Saccharomyces cerevisiae S288C: one gene and its partners. The gene in region 1 interacts genetically with each later gene. Each region holds a gene or a part of one and is shown in the gene's direction. Other genes may lie near its edges.

Region 1 (3,757 bases):
ATGTGGCGCTGGCATTCGAGAGTGATGATGCTTGGTGTGAGCACTTGAAATGTCTCCTCTTTAAGAAAGACAATCCTATCCTTTCATGATCAAGGGCTTCTAAGGCGTCTCTCAATGCCAATTTCAAATCGGTAGGGTCTGACACGGTCTGGTAGCATTTATTAATGCAGTGGGTAAGGAAGAGGGAGGGCTTGATAATGTGGTTGGCTGAAATCGGATGGCAGTGCCCGCCATTGATAGACTCAAATTTTACTGTCTTCGTACAGTGGTTGAAGGTCAGTATGAGTTTTGACTCGCAGATCAAATGTATTTTGTACTTTTCAGGAGTCCTTGTTCTTTGTATACGCTTATTGCTGAGTTGCTCGTGAACATTCATCTCACAAACGAGTTCGTACTTGTTCTTATTGATTTTCTTTGTCCTGTAGATGAAACTAATGAATGAATATACTCTAACGAACTGCTCAAACGACAGGGTACATAGGAACTCGAAGGAGGATTTTGGATGCTTGAAAATAAAGTCCCTGAAGTTTAGAATGTTGTTGATATTTTCGATCTCGTCCTTGTTTACTGGATGGTGATATTCCTGTGCGCATGCAATTAGTTGTTTACCAGACCTAACTTTGCTCAATTGTGCCTTTGTTTTTGCACAACCAATGTAGTTTGGAATCTTCCTAATTAATTCCTCGGTACTATCTCGCTCAACATCACGGCCGCCGCCATTCCCGATCACAATTTTGGGCAGGATAGGATGTGAAACTCTGTCCTCTACTGTGCTGGGCACAGGCGACGGTGGTAGTTTCAAATCTGGCAGCTTTATGGCGACCGGGGCCAAAGGGGGTGAGGGAGCCGTTGCTTCAAACTGAGGTCTTGGGGAGGTCATAGGTGTGATAATAGGCATCATTGCGGCATGATTTCGTACAGCGACAGGGATAGTGACAACCTGTTGTGACCAATGGACGGGCGTATTTGTGCTCATAGAAGGCAATATGGGTGTTGGCAAGCACCTGGGGCTGGAGTACCCAAATGTCAGCGAATGTTGTTGATCTAACGCCAATATGATTGGGGGCAGAACGGGCGATAGGCACTGCCTGCCTGGAGGTGTTCTGGGAACGTGCGCCTGGTTGTTGTTATATACATGTAAATAGTCCATTGAGTCTTTACCAGGTTCTATCTTAACTAAAGAACTACTTCTACACAAGACTTAAGGCACCTTCATACGAAAACCCTCTCCACGATGGCGTTCAATCTTTCGTCTTTATATACATATGTTACTTTATATATTTATATATTTACGTATACACCCGAATGTATTTATATATTTGTATGCATATGCCCACACGTATATGCTCAAGAGTAAATTCTCCGACCCGTTTAAAAGCAAGCACACGTCAAGGTTTGCTGTCTCCACTCGATTCGTACCGTTCCTGCGGTACTCCTAGGCAAGCAGTTAGGCCCTGCCATTCACCCACTCAACAGTTTTAACAGTATACGACTGCAAGGCCATCGTTTACCGGCAGGGTCTATTGTTCTGCGCGTTCCTTATTAGGCACCGCCAAAAAAACCCTTGAAATTTTCGTTTAGGTGCCGGCTCGTTAAGGGCCCTTTTGCTCTCGCATAACGCAGGCACAGGTCACGAACTGCGGTGCGGATACCCTCGATTTAAAGACAGGCAGCAGGTGAAGATAATACCATGCTCAACATGGACGCCAAGGATAGACGTGTAAGTTTAAGTTTCTCTCGTTGTATCGACTGACCTCTTTAATAGCAGTCCTTACCAAGTTGAAAAACCACATCTTCGTGTTACCCGACTACCTGTGCGATGCCGTCTGGAAAATTCGCAATGAAAATTTGATGAAAAAATTGCCTCTCAATAGTGAAAGAAGTATAGCAGGGCCACGCAGAGAGTAAGGGCTATAGGCGAAGTTTTCCTGACATTTTCTTCTTCTATAGGACATTATAATATGGTTTCAGCGCAAGTGGCTACCGAGCTAGGACAGCCTATACCACTGGACACTCAACATGCGGTATCTGTATGTTTCCCGACATGGAAATCTGTAATTTCGTATGTGGAGAAAGACCCCAAAGTTTTAGGGTGTTTAAAGTCTGGCTACCCCAGGTTTTGGATCCACCCCTCGATTCAAAAGCTGCGTGATATTTTAATAGAAAAGTATGCTAAAGAAAACGAAACGTGCTTTTGCTTCCCCTCTTATAGAGTTGCCAAACGGTGCAGAGAGTATGTAAGAAGGAAGTGCGCGCATCGCAATGGCAAAGTAAGGATATTACAGTTAGCCACGGCGAAACCTATCAACGAGGAGCAGAAGACGTGGAAAAGAGAGTGTAAGATTGCGGTAGTGTTTGTAGATGGGGCATACGAGAATATATTAAAACAGTATTGGCAATACACCGGAGAGATCATCTCAAGCAGACTAGCTGAATATGTTTTGCATGAACTTTTCATGGTAGAAAAGAAATCCAGCCCTGCAGAGGAAAAGGAATACATAGAGATGCGGTATGGCAGGAATCTGAATTTTGCATTTGCCGATCGAGCCAAGGAATTGATTAAGAAGAGGATCGCTACAAAGGTTATAGATAAAGATGAGCACGATGAGGAGGAAAACTACCATTTCTTAGCAGGTAACCAAGATGAACAGGACTTCCAGGACACGTTTCTGGATTCATCCCTCAATGAGGCTAACCACGGAGAAGATCATGACGGCGGGATTAGCGGTGAAGTAGACAGTCAAGAAGAACCGCATAATGGCCTTGTTTCCACTATACCCCCGGAGCCCATCGAAATGAGCACGATAGAGGAAGAGCAATCCGTAGAGGAAGATGCCGGGAGGTGTGCATTAAGGGTTTGCCCTGAGAGAGACGTTTTTTTGTTTCCGAGCGGCATGGCGTCGATATTCACTGCGCATAGATTGCTGTTGCAATGGGACTCACTGCGTTTGAATAGATCCAGAAATGGAAGCGACGTCACCTCGTCACCTCCGAATAAGAAGACCGTGATTTTTGGGTTCCCTTATGCGGATACATTACATGTCTTGCAAGAGTTTAATGAAACGTATTTCTTGGGAGAAGGAGATGAGTCTTCAATGAAAGAACTAACAAAAATTTTACATTCCGGGGAGCAAATTCTTGCCGTTTTTATAGAGACCCCATCAAACCCACTATTAAAAATGGGAAATTTACTGGAACTGAAAAGGCTTTCGGAATTATTTGGGTTTTTCATTATCATTGATGAAACTGTGGGTGGAATAGTTAATATTGACGGTCTACCGTTTGCTGATATCGTTTGCAGTTCATTGACGAAGACATTTAGTGGGGACTCTAACGTCATTGGTGGTTCAATGGTTTTAAATCCACAAAGCCGGGTATACGAGTTTGCCTCCCGTTTTATGCAATTAGAAGACGAATATGAAGATTTATTATGGTGCGAAGACGCAATTTACCTGGAAAGAAATTCCAGAGATTTCATTGCTAGAACCATCAGGATCAACTACAGCACCGAATACCTCTTAGATAAAATACTGAAGCCACACGTAGGCGAAAATAAACTATTCAAGAAAATCTACTACCCTAATCTAACCTCAAAAGAAACACTAACCAACTATGACATGGTGAGGTGTAAGAAAGAAGGTGGATACGGCGGGCTCTTTTCACTAACGTTCCATGACGAAGATCATGCTGCGGCCTTTTATGACAATCTAAAGCTGAACAAGGGTCCTTCCTTGGGCACAAATTTCACACTCGCATT
Region 2 (3,686 bases), on another chromosome or scaffold:
TATTACACTACACAGAGTTTTTTTTCTTTCTTTTCTTTCTTCTCTATATATGAGCTGATGAACCTTCTGTTATTTTCTGTATTGATGGAAGATAGGATGCAGCATGGACTAGAGCGTTTTTGGGTCATTTTAGTGCAATAGATCCAATCATTCCTGTTCGATAATCTCAAAGGGACATTCCCCTCTGGAGAGAAATTAGTGACAAAGCTGTGGTCAGTTGGATAAGAGTTCTCTTGTACCCCTTGTGACGAAGTAATAAAATAACAAAAAAAAAAATGCAAACGCAAACGCAAGCACAAGCACAATATAGCTTATAAGGCCATTCCTAGCAATTTTGGAAGAAATGGCTATACCCAAATACAGATTTGGCGACAGTTTAACACTCAGAAGATTGCGACATCGTGCTCTATTTGGGATAAAAAATTAAAAGGCTTTGAATCGTACCTTGACTGGGAGGTACGTAAAGCTGAAACGGAACCTATAGATAACCATTGGAACTTTCTGTTCTTGAGCAAAAATGTTCTGCTTTATATATCTATATGTTCCCGCATGGTTTTATTCAAGGTATTCTTTTAATGAAAAATGCAATTGAATGCAGCGGAGTTAGGGGCTTTTTATAGAAGGGAGGAATTTGGCATTACTAGTTGAGAAAACGCTTTCTCATTTGTGTCATCTTAGGGCTTCAAATACCGCTGACAGAAAATTGGTTGATTACTGCGCATTTCACACGACAAATTAATGAAGAATGGCCAAGATCAGAGTAAACCTTGCCATGCTCTCCATATCATGGAACGGCGGCAATTATTTATACTGATAGTGGCAGAAGTACCGACAACTTCGTTCAGATATTCAAACTCTTAGCTGCAACTTGTTGCTAAAATCATTAGAATGTAACCAGTTTCCCATAAGATTTTCTTTATATATGGACTACGAGACAGTGCTTTCAGACCCAAAGTCTAACCATCCTTGAAAACGTCTTCCAATCATGAAATTAAAATCACGGCTCTATTATTTTCACGTCGAGCTTCATTTTGGGCCACTATTAGATCCTGTGTTTTTATTCCAAGGTGTATTGTCATATTTAATCTTGAAAATAATTTCTAATCTGTGTGATTATTACAGTAGATTCTATTGAAACGACACCATACAGCTCATACGAGTCCGGTGTACTGGCACAGAACACAGATGACAATACAAAAGTAAATAAATCTATCGACAGCAATTCCTATTTTCTTTTACATTTATATTGATTAGCTTACGATTTCTGTATTTATAGAGCGTGTAGTTACATATCCAGATACCTGTCTTCTAGGTGAACAGTTGGTTTTCAGTTCAAAAATTATATAGGATCTTGGACGGTTAGCTTTCCTCCTCATGATCCACTCTTTCGGGAACAAGATAAATTATTGTTTAGTTTTGATTAGCTTTACTTTAATTCGCACAAAAAAAAGCCTGCATTGTCACGAGAACATTGAAACATATACAAAAAACAAATTTGAAATAGAAAACAAAGCAATTTACAGAAATGACTGCCTGGTGCTAATTCTTGCATATATTTTATTTTTAATTAACTAGAAATCAGCGTCAATTATAGTTTCTGGTGAGTCAGCCAATGTCTGTAAATAAAAACAATATGCTTAAGAGGATTAACAGTGGCACAAGAGGCAAAGAAGGGAAGAAGGCGTACACGTCCACATGAATATATAAAAAAGAAGTGTTACATCAATTGGAACCCATCTTTCGGAACGTTTTCTATCTGCTACAAGCCTGTGTCACCGAATTACTTTATTGGGTCTTGTAGAGACGCCGAAATACATCATCATTCCAAGATCGACGATAAAAATCATCCAAAAAATTGTTGCCGAAAAAAAAATTGGAAAAGGTGAAAAAAAAATCAAAATACGGGTAAACGAGCAATCCCTGTTCGGTGCGGTGATTGGCTTGAGGCAAGCTTCCCGCTTGATTTATATAAGAGTAAGGCAACCTAATAAATGCTAGCAACATCTATGCGCCACTCTATTGTCTTTGATTTTCTTGCCCAATCAGCCAAATAAAAAAAAGTTTTACTGCTTACTCATATTATTGCTTACTCCAGTAATTCATACCTAGAAAATTGACAAAACCATGCATACAGCTGAATTTTTGGAAACAGAACCAACAGAAATCTCATCTGTTCTAGCAGGTGGTTATAATCACCCACTGCTGAGACAGTGGCAAAGTGAGCGTCAACTGACTAAGAACATGTTGATTTTTCCGCTATTCATCTCCGATAATCCAGATGACTTTACTGAAATTGACTCTCTACCTAATATCAATAGAATCGGTGTAAATAGGCTAAAAGACTACTTAAAGCCATTAGTGGCCAAGGGTTTGCGTTCTGTGATCTTGTTTGGTGTGCCTCTCATCCCTGGTACCAAGGATCCAGTGGGTACAGCGGCTGACGATCCTGCAGGGCCAGTCATTCAAGGTATTAAATTCATTCGTGAGTATTTCCCTGAACTGTATATTATTTGCGATGTCTGTCTCTGTGAATACACTTCTCATGGCCATTGCGGGGTTCTATACGATGATGGTACTATTAATAGAGAACGTAGTGTCTCTAGATTAGCAGCTGTGGCAGTTAACTACGCTAAAGCTGGTGCGCACTGTGTGGCTCCCAGTGATATGATCGATGGTAGGATCAGAGATATTAAACGAGGCTTAATAAATGCAAACTTGGCTCACAAGACCTTCGTGTTATCCTATGCAGCTAAGTTTAGCGGTAATCTATATGGGCCATTCCGTGATGCTGCTTGTTCAGCTCCTTCGAATGGTGATAGGAAATGTTACCAATTACCTCCTGCCGGTCGTGGCCTGGCACGTAGGGCGTTGGAAAGGGATATGAGTGAAGGTGCCGACGGTATTATTGTTAAGCCTTCCACTTTCTACTTAGATATAATGAGGGATGCAAGTGAAATTTGTAAAGACTTACCAATCTGCGCATATCACGTGTCGGGCGAATACGCAATGTTACATGCTGCAGCTGAAAAAGGTGTTGTTGATTTGAAGACAATTGCCTTTGAATCTCATCAAGGTTTCTTGAGGGCGGGTGCCAGATTAATCATCACTTATTTGGCTCCTGAGTTCCTAGACTGGTTAGATGAAGAAAACTAAAAAAAAACGTGCTTACCTTGTGAATAGTAAAAATAATGATGTCAATATGACAAATGTAACAGTGCTGGCAGTATATCCCTATTTGGCAAGCTTTATAATATGCAAAGATGCGACCTAGTATACGATACAATGGAAATTATGTAATCCTCCTAATGAGTATTTATGTAGTAGTACGTAATATTTATACACGGAAGGCGCTAGTAAGACAGATAGGTAATGTTTTTTTACTTTCACCTCTCATTTTTTCTTCTCAAGGCCTAAAACGGTCATTAGCGGGGCCAGTTGTTCAGGTCCTAACTGTATGCCAGATTTTTCCAATTCCAATTTAAATTCCTTCATAGCGTGTCTCAGATCTCTGTCCATTAAGATCTTAATCATTTGCCATGGTTTCATCGTATTTTCTTCATTGGCAGAAGTCCCATCTAGATTAACCAATTTTTTTTCGATCATGATATTGCTAACCTTTTCTAACTTTTCCAGAACATTAGGCCTCGAATTTATTTGATCCATGAGTTTCTGCACCTTTATGTGTG
Region 3 (3,757 bases), on another chromosome or scaffold:
TATGAGAAGCTGTCATCGAAGTTAGAGGAAGCTGAAGTGTAAGGATTGATAATGTAATAGGATAATGAAACATATAAAACGGAATGAGGAATAATCGTAATATTGGTATATAGAAATATAGATTCCATTATGGGGATTCCTAGACCCTCGAGGAGAACTTCTAGTATATTCTGTATACCTAATATTATAGCCTTTATCAACAATGGAATCCCAACAATTATCTCAACATTCACCCATTTCTCAGAATGAGATATACTTTGAGTAAAAGTGGTGGAGGATATTACTTATGTCCTTGGTAGCATGGGTCAAGATAGTTGTGTTAACTTGTTAATTATTTTTTACTATGCTTCTCAATTAAAGATGAAGTTTAACGAATGGTCTAGACTTATTCTCACAGTTTACCCGGAGGTCATCATTCTCTTTAATGACAATATTTACTCTGTCGTCACTTTCGTAATTGTTTCGTGTCTGTTTCGCAGTCCATTTGGAATGCGACAGTAAGTTAATTACAAGAAGTAGTAACAACAACTTAGCGATAATGTTTCTCATGTGTGACGCAGGGTTACTTTTGACTTAAAACGACCATTTTGCAGTTTTACTTCACGTTCGCAAACTTTCAATAACTGGCTGTTAATCTGGTCGTTAAGAAAAAGGTCAATGACGATGGCAGGGAAAATAGGGCTGTATCCCAGACTTCAGGCGCTGTTCTGCCGGGATTTTTCAAAGGAGGGCGTGTGGTCTAGAGGTATGATTCTCGCTTAGGGTGCGGGAGGTCCCGGGTTCGAGTCCCGGCTCGCCCCACATTGTTTTTACAATGTGTGGTGTCGCTACTGGCAGAAATGGTACGGCATTTATCTTTCCGACGTAAAACAAGTGTACTCAGGAGCAGTTTTTTTTTGCAATATGCTAAAACTCGTACAATAAACCAAGGCGCATGGCATGTTTGAACATTTACTCGTTATTTCGGAGGTTCCTCAGATGGCTGAATGGAGGTACAGATTATGATTTCTAGAAAACTGCAGCGGACTTTACAGAGTAAGCTGGAGAAGACCAATGTTAATGAAAACTTGAACTGCTGAAGTGTGATATTCAATGTATGAGATAATCCATTAAATCATCTACAGTTTAAAGACTGTAGGCTTACATGACCGTTTATCACTGCGATATTGGAGGAAGCGCTTCGGATCAATGGACCTTTTACTTAGCAGAGCGAAGGCTGAAAATCATGAACCCCAACAGCATGTGTGACCTCTCTTCTCACGCCTGGCAAGAAACCAAACTACGGCATACATTCAGCGCACCAAAAAGGAACTCCGTACTATTTACATTAAAAACAAGAAAATGTGTTGCCATTTCCGTAAAATGAATGGCCCATGTTCATACGCGTATGCAACCGTCTTATTTACACTCCGACTAATGTCCTTCTAATTACTGTGGAAGACGGCCGTATAAGCGTCCTTCTGTGGTTTAGATATGCTATACCGGCGGAACTTTGTTACACACGGCTCGCGCGAATCCTTAGGGGAAAACATTGCGCTGACTTTCCCCAGAGTTGTTGCCACAACATAAGCCGCTTTGGAGTGTTGAACAAATCCGTCCTTGGGTCATTCAATCAATGGCTTGGCGGTATCTCAAAAGAGCGCAAACTAATAGCGCGCACATTCGACGCATTTATCCGGTGGTCATCGACTAGGGGCGAAGAGGTCACGACCTATTTTTTCTTGCAGAAAAAAAGTGTGACCTTTTCCGTAGCTAGACGTCTATCAGGGCGTCAGCAATGGGAGGCACAGCGGAAAAACAATAACAATGGTAAGCGCAATTACCTTTTGAGCGTTACATTCGTATGAAATTGGTGACGTTAATCTAAAGATAGTCATGCTCTCAAAAGGGCCCATTATTCTCGACGTTGAGCGTATATAAGACTATTAAAACTTGGTTCTTTAGATATGGTGTTCGTTCCTCATTATTAAGTTTCAGGGAACAATATCAACACATATCATAACAGGTTCTCAAAACTTTTTGTTTTAATAATACTAGTAACAAGAAAAATGACAGTTCCTTATCTAAATTCAAACAGAAATGTTGCATCATATTTACAATCAAATTCAAGCCAAGAAAAGACTCTAAAAGAGAGATTTAGCGAAATCTACCCCATCCATGCTCAAGATGTAAGGCAATTCGTTAAAGAGCATGGCAAAACTAAAATTAGCGATGTTCTATTAGAACAGGTATATGGTGGTATGAGAGGTATTCCAGGGAGCGTATGGGAAGGTTCCGTTTTGGACCCAGAAGACGGTATTCGTTTCAGAGGTCGTACGATCGCCGACATTCAAAAGGACCTGCCCAAGGCAAAAGGAAGCTCACAACCACTACCAGAAGCTCTCTTTTGGTTATTGCTAACTGGCGAGGTTCCAACTCAAGCGCAAGTTGAAAACTTATCAGCTGATCTAATGTCAAGATCGGAACTACCTAGTCATGTCGTTCAACTTTTGGATAATTTACCAAAGGACTTACACCCAATGGCTCAATTCTCTATTGCTGTAACTGCCTTGGAAAGCGAGTCAAAGTTTGCTAAGGCTTATGCTCAAGGAATTTCCAAGCAAGATTATTGGAGTTATACTTTTGAAGATTCACTAGACTTGCTGGGTAAATTGCCAGTTATTGCAGCTAAAATTTATCGTAATGTATTCAAAGATGGCAAAATGGGTGAAGTGGACCCAAATGCCGATTATGCTAAAAATCTGGTCAACTTGATTGGTTCTAAGGATGAAGATTTCGTGGACTTGATGAGACTTTATTTAACCATTCATTCGGATCACGAAGGTGGTAATGTATCTGCACATACATCCCATCTTGTGGGCTCAGCACTATCATCACCTTATCTGTCCCTTGCATCAGGTTTGAACGGGTTGGCTGGCCCACTTCATGGGCGTGCTAATCAAGAAGTACTAGAATGGTTATTTGCACTTAAAGAAGAGGTAAATGATGACTACTCTAAAGATACGATCGAAAAATATTTATGGGATACTCTAAACTCAGGAAGAGTCATTCCCGGTTATGGTCATGCTGTGCTAAGGAAAACTGATCCTCGTTATATGGCTCAGCGTAAGTTTGCCATGGACCATTTTCCAGATTATGAATTATTCAAGTTAGTTTCATCAATATACGAGGTAGCACCTGGCGTATTGACTGAACATGGTAAAACCAAAAATCCATGGCCAAATGTAGATGCTCACTCTGGTGTCTTATTACAATATTATGGACTAAAAGAATCTTCTTTCTATACCGTTTTATTTGGCGTTTCAAGGGCATTTGGTATTCTTGCTCAATTGATCACTGATAGGGCCATCGGTGCTTCCATTGAAAGGCCAAAGTCCTATTCTACTGAGAAATACAAGGAATTGGTCAAAAACATTGAAAGCAAACTATAGTTGGATTACATCCTACTTTTACACCCCTCTGCATATTTTTCTTTCCTCATGACCATTTAGTATTTAGCACTTATTTAATACAATAATATATTCTTTTAACCATACACTATGATAATGATATTTATAATTAAGAAAATGAACGTTACTATTTCCTTCCTCGTTTTAGTTACATAAAATTTACTAATGGTTGGAAAATTGCGGAAGCTATCACGCGATAACTAGGTACACACGCATTATTTTTATAATCCCATTATTAATAAATCCGTTATGACCCTTTTAGTAATAACTTATTAAGAACCTCCGGGTAAAATACTGTACTGCGGGGA

Evidence for each region.
Region 2: mutations in YML082W (region 1) and HEM2 together harm fitness less than expected from each alone (positive genetic interaction), as found in Saccharomyces cerevisiae (one large-scale study listed by BioGRID).
Region 3: mutations in YML082W (region 1) and CIT2 together harm fitness less than expected from each alone (positive genetic interaction), as found in Saccharomyces cerevisiae (one large-scale study listed by BioGRID).

What each region holds. Positions count from the first base shown.
Region 1 is NC_001145.3:99,901-103,657, forward strand, and holds the start of YML082W (putative cystathionine gamma-synthase), read left to right. Parts: upstream 1-1,961; coding exon 1,962-3,757. Other genes in the region: YML083C (uncharacterized protein), read right to left, coding at 1-1,150. UniProt on the Saccharomyces cerevisiae protein: Catalyzes the formation of L-cystathionine from O-succinyl-L-homoserine (OSHS) and L-cysteine, via a gamma-replacement reaction. In the absence of thiol, catalyzes gamma-elimination to form 2-oxobutanoate, succinate and ammonia.
Region 2 is NC_001139.9:418,994-422,679, reverse strand, and holds HEM2 (porphobilinogen synthase HEM2), read left to right. Parts: upstream 1-2,124; coding exon 2,125-3,153; downstream 3,154-3,686. Other genes in the region: DPC13 (Dpc13p), read right to left, coding at 3,391-3,686. UniProt on the Saccharomyces cerevisiae protein: Catalyzes an early step in the biosynthesis of tetrapyrroles. Binds two molecules of 5-aminolevulinate per subunit, each at a distinct site, and catalyzes their condensation to form porphobilinogen.
Region 3 is NC_001135.5:120,620-124,376, reverse strand, and holds CIT2 (citrate (Si)-synthase CIT2), read left to right. Parts: upstream 1-2,048; coding exon 2,049-3,431; downstream 3,432-3,757. Other genes in the region: YCR006C (uncharacterized protein), read left to right, coding at 1,374-1,847. UniProt on the Saccharomyces cerevisiae protein: Peroxisomal citrate synthase involved in the citrate homeostasis. Catalyzes the condensation of acetyl coenzyme A and oxaloacetate to form citrate. Citrate synthase is the rate-limiting enzyme of the tricarboxylic acid (TCA) cycle.